Regions from separate parts of the Mus musculus genome. Here regions 1, 2 and 3 are each reported to be linked to region 4. Evidence: microRNA targets listed by miRTarBase, many of them from high-throughput screens and not tested one by one. Region 4 holds a microRNA gene; each other region holds the end of a gene's coding sequence.
The links. The annotated mature microRNA mmu-miR-5135 reads AGGUCUAGGUGGCAAGGGCGUCCU and lies in region 4 at 2,372-2,395, opposite strand. An mRNA with a match to its seed (bases 2 to 7 or 8) in the 3' UTR can be bound and repressed. Matches are read on the target gene's strand: a 7mer-m8 pairs with bases 2 to 8, a 7mer-A1 pairs with bases 2 to 7 and ends in A, and an 8mer does both.

Region 1: miRTarBase lists Azi2 as a target of mmu-miR-5135. The part of its 3' UTR that is shown has no 7-base or 8-base seed match.
Region 2: the mRNA of Fitm2 is a reported target of mmu-miR-5135. Seed matches in the 3' UTR shown: 7mer-A1 at 2,107-2,113.
Region 3: the mRNA of Git2 is a reported target of mmu-miR-5135. Seed matches in the 3' UTR shown: 7mer-A1 at 1,354-1,360.

The regions. Positions count from the first base shown.
Region 1 is chr9:118,061,677-118,064,676 of GRCm38, forward strand. It overlaps Azi2 (5-azacytidine induced gene 2), which reads left to right. Exons shown (of 8, transcript NM_013727.4): 8 at 38-3,000. The coding sequence ends at 450. It overlaps Cmc1 (COX assembly mitochondrial protein 1), which reads right to left. Exons shown (of 4, transcript NM_026442.3): 4 at 2,846-3,000. Among named protein-coding and RNA genes, the nearest start is that of Gm51660, 10 kb to the right of the region's middle.
Region 2 is chr2:163,466,775-163,470,011 of GRCm38, forward strand. Fitm2 (fat storage-inducing transmembrane protein 2) reads right to left here. Exons shown (of 2, transcript NM_173397.4): 2 at 1,929-3,237. The coding sequence ends at 2,729. Among named protein-coding and RNA genes, the nearest start is that of 2310001K24Rik, 4.2 kb to the right of the region's middle.
Region 3 is chr5:114,727,500-114,730,736 of GRCm38, forward strand. It overlaps Git2 (GIT ArfGAP 2), which reads right to left. Exons shown (of 20, transcript NM_001347400.1): 20 at 1-2,895. The coding sequence ends at 2,683. Among named protein-coding and RNA genes, the nearest start is that of Mir7028, 9.6 kb to the left of the region's middle.
Region 4 is chr12:76,530,772-76,534,008 of GRCm38, forward strand. Mir5135 (microRNA 5135) reads right to left here and starts at 2,441; the gene lies at 2,363-2,441. It overlaps Plekhg3 (pleckstrin homology domain containing, family G (with RhoGef domain) member 3), which reads left to right and starts at 2,789. Exons shown (of 19, transcript NM_153804.4): 1 at 2,789-3,047.

The sequences.
Region 1 (3,000 bases), not on the chromosome of region 4:
TCTAGAAGACTGACACATAGCTGTGCTTTCTTTTTAGCCTGTACCCCAGTAGGATGTGTTGAAGACCTTGGGAGAGACAGCACGAAATTGCACTTGACAAATTTTACTGCAACTTACAAAAGACATCCCTCTTTGTCACCAAATGGCAAAGCTCCTTGTTATGCTCCGTCTTCCCCTTTACCAGGAGATAGAAAGGTTTTCTCAGACAAAGCAGTTCTTCAGTCATGGACAGATAACGAGAGATTGGTTCCTAATGACGGTGCAGACTTTCCAGAGCACAGCTCCTATGGGAGAAATTCTCTGGAAGATAATTCCTGGGTATTCCCAAGCCCTCCTAAATCAAGTGAGACAGCATTTGGTGAAAATAAAAGCAAAATCTTACCTTTATCCAACCTGCCGCCACTGCATTACCTGGATCAACAGAATCAGAACTGCCTTTACAAAAGTTAATTTCACTTGTGATTTGATCAGGAAGACACGGACTCAGGGGTTCTCCCAAGAGATTGTTCAAACTGAAAGTGGACTTTGATTGATGGCTTGTGCAGTTCTCCAGTATGTACATTTGTACATTCTGTATAACATTATATATGTAATTGATTTTCCAGTATGGGAACCTCCAGTTGTACCTTTGATAACAATTATACATTTTTGCTTCTTGGATAGAGTGGAAATGAAAATTTTAGGCATGGTTTTATAAAGTATGTGACCTGCCTAAATATCCAATCATTAAATAAAAAGCAGCCTTTAGTATAAAAGAAAAAACATGTCTGCTGGTTTAGATTGTATCAAGAAGCAAGTAAGAGTAGGTTGAGCTTCTGTAAATTCCTGATACATAAAGATTTGAAATATAATGGAATAAAAGTAGGTTATGACATCTCTATGCTATTGTTTCAAGTTTTAAGATTTAAAATCATTTTTAAGTAAAATGTTTGTATATACAAATTTAAAGTGCAATTTGAATTCTAAGACTTGAATTAATGACTATTGAAGCCAACTTTTTCCCAGTATATTTAAATCCTAAATAGTTAAAAATGATGTGGTATGTGAATAAACTATTATAACCTTATACAATGTCCAGTTAAAAGAAGAAAGAGCATCTCACAGGGCAGTCTCTTCAGTGATGTGTAGTGAACCTCCCGTGTGGTCATTTTCAGCAGGACAGCTATTTGTTTTACACAGAGCAGCTTACACACTGTTAGATATGACATTTGAGAAAGTAAATGCTAATTAGCTGCATCTAGAACTAAATCTTGTGCTGTACAATTGTGAAATATCCCAACTCATTCTAAGTGCCCAATCACTTGTAAATAAGTAAAGAAATAACAAAGATGGCTTCATGTGGAAATTCATCTAAATTTTTTCAAGGTGGAAGCATTAAGAGTATTAGTAATCATGTATTACCTGTTTGATGTAAGAAGACTTTATCCTTTTCTAAGTGCCATTTCATGTATCTTGAATTCAGAGGATCTCTGACCTTGTATCACTGAATAGAATGCATAGCCAGGCACTGTTCACTGTTGAGTTATCTCAGTCACTTACTCATGCCTGTCCGTGATTAATGGAATTGATGTCAGATACTGGAATGTGTTCTGACCAATGAACACAGCTGACTCGAGGGAGTACAGGCTCCTGCCAAGTAATACAACAAGACCCAATATGCATAAAACAAATACACAAGCCCAGGCTCTAGCTGAAGGCACTAACTGACTGTGTAATAAGAAAGCAAACGCAGTTCTCGTGTGACTGCGGAGGCTGTCCATCATCTTAGGACTGATGTAGCTTAATGGTTTGCTTTTTTTCAAACCAAGATGAGAAGTTTTCTTTTGTAAAGAGAGTCTTATAATGTTTTTGAACAATGCCAAGAAATTGTTTTAATTAAAATTATTTTTGTTTTTAAAATGGAATTGGATGTGAAATACTGTCCTTGCCTATGTATATTTCCAAAGTCTGGTATTAATTTTATTTCTCCAACATACTCTGAATGGAGGGAATCCCCTCTAACTAGTAGTAACCGTTATCAAAAAGGATTGCTAGAACAGTCTGATGGGTGTTAACAGTCAAAGTGTTAAAAGCTTGTGTAAGACTCCTTAGCTAGAAAAGAGAAACCCTAAAATATTCTTACCTGGTCAGAAAATGTTTAAATATATACTTAGTCAATGGTAACAGCTGTATTTTGTGATTCATTAAAATTGACAGTCCCGTTGGTCCTTTTCATACTAGCTGACAACCCCAACAAGCTTCCCTAAATCTAATTAAGCTCACCTGTAACTCATTAATATTAGGACACAACCGACAGTAGCCACATGCTCCTTCCTCTTGGTCCTTTATTGTATTGAGCCAACGCCAAAATAGAACTGCCCCATGAACCTGTAAAAACCGGGGATCCAAAGACACATCTGCAGCAGGTACACTAGTCAGGCAAGCGGTGAATGGGAACACAGTTTATCTAGTACCTACTGGTTTCGAGACACACAACAGAAATCTTGTTACTATGTCACTGGCTTCTTGTAGTAACTGTACCTTTTCTTTGAGTCACTGAAAACAACTGTAGCCCTGTCCAATAGAAATGTGCCAGTGCCAACAAGGCCAGCGCAGAGATAATGGGCTGCTTGGCCTTTCCCCGTGCTGCAGTATCTTCCTGAGTTTGCTCTGCTTGGCCTCCAGTCACCTTCTGTTGATCTGTGCTTTGGGAGAATGGGTTCTTTGAGTTTCAAACAAAAGTAAAGTAGTTCTTTGGTGAGTACACTGTGAAGCTTGAACATGCATTCATTGACTAGGTTCATTTCATTTGAATGAGAAATTTTTTTCATAGGATTGGAGCCAAAGTTAAATCTTGCCTTCCTGGTTTTTTTAAAATAGTTTTTAATATAAAAAGCTCAGACTAGGGTAACACACTAAAAGAGAAACTTACCACAGTTCCTCCCAAACCCCCAATATCACAAAACAGAAGTTCACACTAACAATGCCAACTTCTTAAAATCCAAGATTATACAGTATTTT
Region 2 (3,237 bases), not on the chromosome of region 4:
TGGTCAGGTGGTTTGGGAGGGATGCCAACGTTCACACCTGCACCTCATGGCAGCCCAAGCCCAAACACTCACCCATGCCACGCCTCCTCACACGGCAGGAGAGGCATGCTCCTGAGAAGGTGAGGGCTCTGAGGAACTTGGGGTGTGGCTCAGAACCCTGGGCACCACCCCACCCAGAGCAGAGAGGGAGGAGTGTCAAGTATAAGCATGTGTGATTTCATCCATCTGATATGCAGAGAACAATGAGCAACTGTGAATTCCCACGTGTTGTCGACTCAATGTTAAAACTGGTCAGATCACGTGAGGAAAATGCCCGGAGCCCCAGTGTGACAAATGAGCCTCTGGCCACATCCTGTGTCTGCCCCCTTCTGTTGTGAACATGCAGCTTGAGAGTCTTTACCTGGGGACCAGCCCTACCATCATCCCCAGACCCATTCCTACCGTGGGGAGATGGATAGACACTCCCAGGAAGTCAAATATCCTTTCAGTCCACTGTCAACAGAGCAAAACATCATGGGGACCCCTTTCTGCCTGCCTTTCTTCACCTTTGGTGACAACATCTTACATCTTAAATAGTAATTGGTCAAGTTGACCTGTAGTTCAACAGGATATAAAATACATATTTTAAATAGATTATTATATTTTAAAAATTACTTAGTAGCCAGATGTGGTGGCTTTAATCTTAGTATATATACCTTTAATCCCAGCACTTAGGAAACCGAGGCAGGCAGGTAGATCTCTGTGAGTCTGAGACCAGCCTGGTCTACATAGTGAGTTCCAGGCCAGCCAGGACTGAATAGTAAGACCCTGCCTCAAAAGATTAAATTAAACTAGAAATTAAAAAAAATACTAAAATTAAAAGAAAAAGAAAGAGCTGTCTCTTAATTTACTAAGTGCCTAATAACCCGAACTTGAGTCAGGCCAGTCAGGGTCAGGGCCAAAGCTTATCAGGTAATGTCATTAGCCAGCTCTGCTAGGGAGGAGGCATCAAAGCAGCTTCAAGGACCATCATCCAAAAGGCCAGGGGCTCAGCTGTGCCAGGCTTAAGGAGATCACCCGGGGGAGGACAGGGCCCTTCTCATCAGACTGGAAGCCTGCCGCATGGGACGTGGGTGACAAGACTTCTTACCCTAACAGTCACGGTGAACACCATGGCTGGAAGCCGGGAAGTGCTTCAAGAAAAGACTCTCATGGCTATTGAACACCCCCTCCTAGGGTTGTTCTGTCTGTGAGCTGAAGAAAAGAGGCAGGGCCAAAGTCATGGCGCTATGTAATATGGCTGATTTGGCATGGTGGTTGTATGTAATACAGGCGGCTTTGCGTGCTGGCTGGCTTCCTGCATCAGAGGGAAACATTTGCTCTCACTTCTATATTATCATAATCTCCAAAGGTAAAAATCCCTTAGGCTGTGGCACTTGTCCTGTGGTCCTATGAGGTCCCCAAACCCTATTGTGTCTCTATCACCAGCCAGTGGGCAGGAAAGCCTCAGAACAAGTGAGCACTGAGTTGCTCTCTCAGCTTAACATTCATCAACTAATACAAGTCTGCTTCTCAGTTTTATTCCTTCCTTCCTTCTTTCTTCTTCCAGTCAGGAGCTCACAATGTGGCCCTGGCAAGGTAACCTCAACCTCACAGAGATCTGCCTGCCTCTGCCTTCCCGGTGCTGGGATTAGAGGCGTGCAGCACCGTGCCTCCCGGCCTCCAGTTATATTTCTAAGAGAGGGAACATTCCTATGAGGTGCAATTTCATATGACAAGCCAAGAATTTGGTTTATACAAAAAGTTAGTGTTCTAAAACAAAACAAAACAAAACAAAACAAAAAAAACCCTCAAAACAATTTTCACATGCCAAGGTGTGGGTGACACTGGAGCTTTGCCAACAGAGAACAAATAGAGTAGTAATGATTAAAACCATAGGGCAGTCACTCAGGAGAGAAGAGAGAAAATGGGGTTCTCTGTTACTGCTCCAAACCCCAAGACATAACGATACATAGTGTGGACAGAAAAAGAAACCATCCAAGTGCCAGGCCAGGCCGTGGTGGACACAGCTTTAATCCCAGCACTCGGGAGGCAGAGGCAGGCAGATCTCTGAGTCTGAGGCCAGCCTGGTCTACAGAGTGAGTTCCAGAACACGCAGGGCTACACAGAGAAACAACAACAACAACCATCCAGGCACTTCGGGGTCATGGGCCCCTGTTGGGAATCATGGCCAGGTGAAATGTCAACATTCCACAGAGGACGCGGATGCTACAGCCAGAGAGTGTCCTTGAGGCATTGGGGTATTTAACAAAGAGCCTGCCAGAGACAAAGGCTTATCTCAGAGTTGGCCATGGGGAAGCTGTTAGAAGAACAGCATTACTGTGGCCTCTAAACTCTAAAGAGAAGCAGAGCCGGGGAGGCCACAGCAGAGAATCCTGAAGCCCTGATTCTCTCTTGACCCACACGATGAGGCAGGCTGCTCTCCCTCTGCTGAGCCTCAGCTCTCCCTCTGGGGACAGATTAAGGTCACATCTTGCCATAGATGAGAAGAATCTGACAGGAGTAGCACTGCTGGCAACATGGTGGCACCGCCAGCAGAGTCTGCCAACTAAGCTTGTTCCCCAAGCGCCCCCCACACCAAAGGTACCTAGTAAGGGCCCTCTCTGAAATGGGACAGATAATTCTGTACTGGACAAAGTACGTGGGAATCCTATTAGCCATTGTCCTCCTGTCCCTATGTCCTTCTCTTTCATTTCTTGTAAGTATCTCGCTTCAAAGTCAAACTACAACTCTGGGGAGGAAGTCCTGGAGAGAAAGACTTCAGATACCAATACCCATATGTTCCGTACCAGCCCAACAAACCAAACATGGTGCCGAACACTTTCTGGGTCAAGTCGTGGAAATAAACGGCTGTGCACAGAAACATCCACACCCAGATGAAGGTCAGGAAACCCAGGGCGACAACCAGGGTGGTGATGGCGGCATGGAGGTGGTGGCCGCGGTCCGTCTTCACCTCATGCAGCACGGCCATCTCTTCCACAATCATGAGCGCACAGAAGGTCAAGAGGAAGGAGTGGCCCGAGATGTCAAAGCCATGCCAGAAGCCCCCTTCCCGGTGGCACTGCTGCTTGCTGCGATGCTCCTGTCTGATGCCCTCCAGGGCCGGGGACTGGTAGCAGCTGCCTGTATAGTGCTCAATGTTGGAGAAGAGGGCTGTGCAGATATACCAGATGGCTGTGCCCACGAGGAGGGTGCTCA
Region 3 (3,237 bases), not on the chromosome of region 4:
AAGCCACCAGAGGAGGAGGAGCGAGGGGGCTTAACACCAGGTATGCAATGCTCTTTTCTCTATGCTGCACTTTGCTTTGTAAGAGCGTGGGTGATAGCCAGCTAGGACAAAGAAGGAAAGGAAACTGCACTGCGAGCCCACCGAAGCTGTGGAGGATGAAAACACGCGGCTTTCAGGCTGCATTCCATGATGGAAGTCACTGAGGTCAGGGCAGAGCCCCTGCGCTGTGCCGTTAAGAGTCCCGAGTGCACGCAACACTGGACTTCGTCTTTGGCAAGTAAAGACCGTGGTGCTGAGGCCACAGTGCCTTCCGGGAACGGAGCTTGAGGCAGGGCCTGCTCCATTAATTGTGTCTTCATCCTCTCCATCTTAGAAAGTGGGGTACACAGGTGGGAAGGCAGAATCCCAGAGAGGGGAGAGAGCAGCCAGATTGGATGCAGAGCTCACTCCTGCGAGGCGATGAGACCCACGTGCAAAAAACCCAAAAACGGCCAGGGCGAGCTTTGAGACAAAACGCATTTGCCCACAGGAACAGTATGCTCTAACCCCAGCCAGGTCTCAGGAGGGACTGTGTGGGGCCCCTCCTGCTGTCTCCTCAGGCCTCCACACAGGGCCTTCAGCCTGAGGAGGACATGGGACTGACTGGTGTTCTTGAGAGCGTCTGGAAATGCTGTACTGGCCCCGTGTTCTTTGATTTCTCAAGGACAGCATTCTTCTTCGTGACTTAACGGGACTGCACCACTCCACCTCTAACAGTTCTCTTCCCGGAAGCTTCCAACAGAGGCCTGCTCTCTCTGGGGATGGTGGGAACCAGCTCAGGCTGGAACCAGCTCCAGGGAGCCTGCCAGGAAGAGCAGTCATCCTTGGAGCACGCAGAAAAGCTTGTCAGAGAGGATGCCTGAGCTCACACTGGCCGGCCCCTTTCTAAAAGGCCCTGCTGGACATCCTCCAGCACTTAGGCTTGTGTGTATCGATGAGTGGGCAGGCCCCTGGAGCGCTGAGCCTTTCCTCCGAGCTGTGAGCCTCACGTTGAGGTGATGCTGTCTCCAGGATGCATTGGCCATGTTGTAAGAGGGACTATGAGGCAGGCTCAGCATACTGAGGTCACCTCACTTTGGTCGTTCTATGGGAGACTGATGCTGCCTTCCAGGGCTGGCTGACAGGTTCACTCATGTGCAGGTTACAGACCCCAGCGGAGGCTGAGATGGGCAGCCTGTTCAGTGGGCATGTCTGGATTGACTGTCCACATTTCTGATTAGAAAAATGTCATGAAGCCTGGCGGTGGTGGCGTACGCCTTTAATCCCAGCACTCAGGAGGCAGAGGCAGGTGGATTTCTGAGTTCCAGGACAGCCTGGTCTACAAAGTGAGTTCCACGACAGCCAGGGCTACACAGAGAAACCTTGTCTCGAAAAACCAAAAAAAAAAAAAAGAAAAGAAAAGAAAAGAAAAATGTCAAGAAATAACTCAAACTTCTGGTTCCTTGAAAAACCAAAGCACTGGCAGCCACAGGCTACTTTTCTACAGCTGCATGAGGGGTATGAGTGGGACAAGCTGCTGTCCTCACAGGCTGGGTGGGGTCCCTAGCCGCCCTTGGCTGTCTGTGCACCTGGCTGGCAACATAGCCACTGCCTGCTCCCTCAGGTCAGGGCCAGAGCTCCACCCAGGCAGAAGCGATCGACAAAGTGCCTTCAGCACAGCGAGCGCCAGTGCTGCGGTGGCCTGGGTGTCAACCTCTGCCCTTGGGGAGCTGTGGGGGAGCTGCCACCAGCTAGGGCACACGGGGAACTCTTCGTGCAGCGCCACAGGAGTTCTAATCATGAACTACCCGTGAGGGGATGGGGACACGGAGGCCCTGCGTCTTACCTGGGAAGACATCCTTCCAGAGGAGCCGTGTGGAGGATGTCAGCAGCACGGCCTGTGAAACTGACTCAGGGTTCTAAGTAAACTGTCTGGCTTGGCGGGGAAGCAGGCCCCTGACAGTGGGCGGTGCTCCTGCTCTGAATGTGGCCGACTGGAAGCTGATGTAAAGGGTGGATTTCTAACTACTTTTTTGGACATTATGGAGACATCAGCATGATGGTAAAATCTTTATAGATAGAAAATCAAGATAAAAATATTAAATAAGACAACACTTAACATGATACAAGAGTTAGAAATGGATCCGCTCCTTGTCACTCCCAAGAGATGCGCTCTCTCTAGGAAGTGGGAAGCTCTGCTCCTCGTGCACATGGAGAGACCCCACAGGATGGAAGGGAAGCTTCCTGATTGACTGCACGATGCTTGGAAGGGACGGATGCTGCTGCTGCTGCTGGGGTTTTTGTTTTTGTTTTTAAATCCAACTTTCTTATCTCTTAAGAAAATGTTTTACTAAAAATATCAATTATAGCTTTAGGCATGGGTAGAGATTGTAAAGGACAGGAAAGTTGTAACACACTTGGAACAATGACTTTTGAACACATGGGGTCATGACCTAAGCACTTGGTGACAATCTGACAGGACAGAACTAAGTTGCAAATAGGCACAAATAAGGCAAGGGTTAAATTACAGTCAAAAATCTGTTAGAAAACATGCAAAAAATAATACTGAGCTTTCTTTTAAAAAGTCTGAAATCATCATTAAATGTTTTGTAAAAATCTGAAGAGTTCGTGTATAGTCTATGGGCAGGCAGACAGCACCCGAGCTCAGCTGCTGTTCTCTTTGGTGGTGATTGTGACCAGCTGTTTGGCGGCCTTGGCGATGTCATAGGCACACTGGATGACCTGCTGTGTGACCAGCTGCACATCTGTGGGTAAGCTGGAGTCTCCTGGGAGAGCCTTTCTGCACTCCGACTGGAGCCGGTAGGCACTGGACGTGAGTAGGCGGAGGGAAGTCCTCACCGTGTCAGACTTGGGTTTCTGAAATGAAAGCAGAGCCGTCTGCTGGGGGCTGCAGGGTGTGGAGGCAGCAACATGGAGTGAGCCAGTTCCCAAGAGCAACCTGAGCTGCCCCAGAAAGTCTGATTGCTTTCAGCTGGGTATTTTATTGTTTTTTTTTTTCGAGACAGGGTTTCTCTGTGTAGCCCCGGCTATCTTGGAACTCGCTCTGTAGATCAGGTTAGCCTCTTGCCTCGGCTTCCCAAGGCATGCCCCATTACCACCCAGCTAGTTGGCATTTTAAACATTATCAGCTTTGCAACTCGTGGCCTACGAAGAGAAGCTTAGGTGCTATATCCTAAACTCCATTGCGTTGCCTTGCAG
Region 4 (3,237 bases):
ACAGCCCGGGATCACAGCCCCAGGGGATCTCTTGCCTGTGTTTACATCCCTCCCTTTCCTGATGTTCACAGTGGAGCAGCAGAAATGACAATTGTGAAAACTCAATGGCCTTGGCGTCTGGGATTTGAAGCTTTCATGCGAGGCTTGGTAGCAGGCGGTCAGAGGCAAGGGATGAGAAACTGCATTGGTTCCCTGTGAGTCATCTTGACTCTGGTTGTTTGGTTTTCTCATCCATAAACTAGGGAGAACACCTCCATTCTCCCTTCCAAGTGGAGGGGCTGAGATGATGAATTAATTTGTATTTGTTAGACACCCTGAGACCTCAGATTAAAGGCATTACTGAGACTCAAGGTGTTATTATAATAATAAATGATTTAATAGCAGGGCGAGGCCGCTCGCTGAAGCAAGAGCTGGTGGGAAGGCAGAAAGGCTCAACGCTGAGAAGGGGGCTGCGGCTCGGCTTGAGACCCTGGTCCTGACACTGACTCTTGGAGGCTTGGAGGTAGGAAACTGATTTTTTATAAAATCTTGCTTGTTTCATCTGGCTCCAGCATGGCCTTATTGAATGCTTCTTACAAGTTCTGCATAGTAAGATTACAATCTTTTCAGGAAATGGGCATATAAATTAAAGCAATTAGAAACAACTCGAGGCTTTAGAATCAAGTTCAGAATGGACTAACAAGTGTCTAGAAGGAAGTGGAGAAAGAGCTGGCTGGCTAAATGCAGTTTTCCCTGTGGGTAGAAACTCCCAGCTCTACCACCCACTAGCAGTATGACCAAGCCTCAGTTTCTCCTGTAACCGCAATTGTTCTTGTAAAATGCTCAAAGGTTAACACAGTAAGCACTCCAGTGTCGCCCCCTCAGACTACGCCCCTTGATGCAATTGATCTTGGCCAGACTGCTCCATCCTTAGAGCCTCAGTATTCTTCCTGCAAAATGGGAGTAAGTGTATTCCTGCCTTAGTGATTATAAAGTGCAGTGCACTTGGTAGCACCATTCCCTAACCATTACTATCATCAACATTTTATTTTTCTTTTCTAGCTAAGGAGCCAGTCATACATTCAAAAGTTTTAAATCTCTGGATTGGGGCTGGGGGACGTCTTTGGAAGTTGGGAGTTTAAGATTAGTAGGAAAGGACTGGTAAGATTTAACAGATTAGAGAAGAAACCAGAAACCCAGAAAGTTCGAGGTGGGAAGGAGTGGGGCTTCTCCCTTTCCCATCCCACCCCGTAGTTTTATCTCTCTCCCCCGTTCCCGGGTAATCTTGTTTCTCACCAGTGCTGTCCTCTAGTCTGCCGCTCTTCAAGCCTAACCTGTGGACTAAGTAACGTGAGCCTTACTTTCTGGCCCTCCCGCAGTCAGGAGCAAGGACTACTTTAATCTTTACTCTTCCCAGGGATCCCGTTTCAAAGTCACCTGAAAGCCATTTCCTCTCTCTCTGCCCCGCCCCTCCCCGTAAATCACTAGGTGCTTGCTTTTCCCTGGGGCAGCTTTTTTTTTTTTTTTTTTTGAGGGCAGTGGTGGAGGAGGGGATTTTATAAGCTATTTAGGATTTTCACTTGTCTACACTTGGCGGTCTAAATGCTGAGTTACTGGGGTCGATTCTCCATTCCTGTTCCAAGAACCTGGTGCCATCGTTTAACGCAGGAGTCCTACTTCTTCTGTGATCTCACACTGGGCTCCCATCTCCTACCCCTCTTCATGGTGCGTACTGGGGACAGCATCTAATGCTACCTCCCCTAAGATCTTTACCAATGAAAGATTTATTCTTAGTGAGGTGTAGTAGCGCACACCTATAATTCTAGCACTCTGGGGGATCACTCAAGAGTTCTGGGCTAGCTTGGGCTACAAAGTGTGGGCCTGTTTCAAATCAAAAAATAAAATAAAAACAATAATTAGGGCGTGGTGGTGCACACCAGTAATCCCAGCACTCCGGAGATAGAGGGTGGAGAACCATTACTCTCAAGATTACCCTCTGCCAGTCTCAGATAATTGAAATCCTGCTTCAAAAACAAAAACCACACAAAAGATTTATGTTCTTGCTCAAAATCTAACTGGTTTGTATTCTATGTGCTTGTGCTAATCATCCCCCAATTTTCCCATCCCCTAATTTCCCGGTACATGCCTTTTGTTGATAGATCGCACTCAAAATGGGGTCCACTGACATTCAGGTTCCTCGATCAGTTTTTCTCATTAACAGTCCCACTGAGCGCCGCGCCCCGCCCCGCCCCAAGTTATGCGCTTCTTATCTCTTTCTCCTCAGAAGGTAAGATTTTACAACTGTAAAGAGCCACCGAAACCTAGTTTCGGCGAGGAATTCGAGACGTGCCTTTCTGACTCAGCGGTCGTGGTGACCTGCTCCAGTAGGACCAGGACGCCCTTGCCACCTAGACCTGCGCTTCTCCTGGGAAAGTCTAGGTGGCTGGGCTCCGAGTCCTCTCTGGTCGGAACCTGGTCTGGAGGCTTTCGTTGCCCTCTCGGCGTGATATCAGGGCGGTGGCACTAGAGTAACCCCACCACGTGCGCCTTGGGATCCCAGAGTTCCAGGTGGCAAGGGGAGGCGGCCAGCGGGACCCACACGGCGGGCCACGCGCGTTAATCATTAGCCACGGCGGCCGCTGTCTACAGCGGGAGCCACAGCTCGCTCGCACCGCCGCGAAGGTTCCCCCGGGCCCCCCAGAGCCGCCAATTGCTGGATCGCAGCCGCGAGCGCAGTCTCCACCCACTGGAAACATTCCTGGTCCGCCCCTCCCTGGCTCCCTCCCTCTCCCTCTCTCTCTCCCTCCCTCCCTCCCGCCGCAGCCTGGACTCCGGCCGCAACTTCCTGCCCGGTGCTGGGGAACCGTGCGCATTTCGGGGGTCCCCCGGCGTCTGGTGCTCGCAGCGAGCAGAGGCTGGGACCGCGGGGCGGCCAGCCGTGGGCGGGAGCGGCCGGCGGCCTCTGCCGCTTCCGAGAGCGACTTTCAAACTCGAGCCCGCTTCGCGGCGCCACCTGGGCAGCCCCGCGCGCCTGGCGCGTCGCGAGCCGGCGGGGCGGCCACCGCTTGGTGAGTGTCCCTAGGTTTGCCTTTCTCTCTTTGCCCATGCTCGATTGGCTGAGTGGCAGCGCTCTGCGGAGACCCCAGGCTAGCCCTCTGTGGGATGAGGACCTGGCCCCGAGCTGCCTCGGACACACTCGGAGGAGGTTGGGTCGCGGGAAGGTCGTAAGGGGAGTCACTTTTTATCCCCACCCCGGAA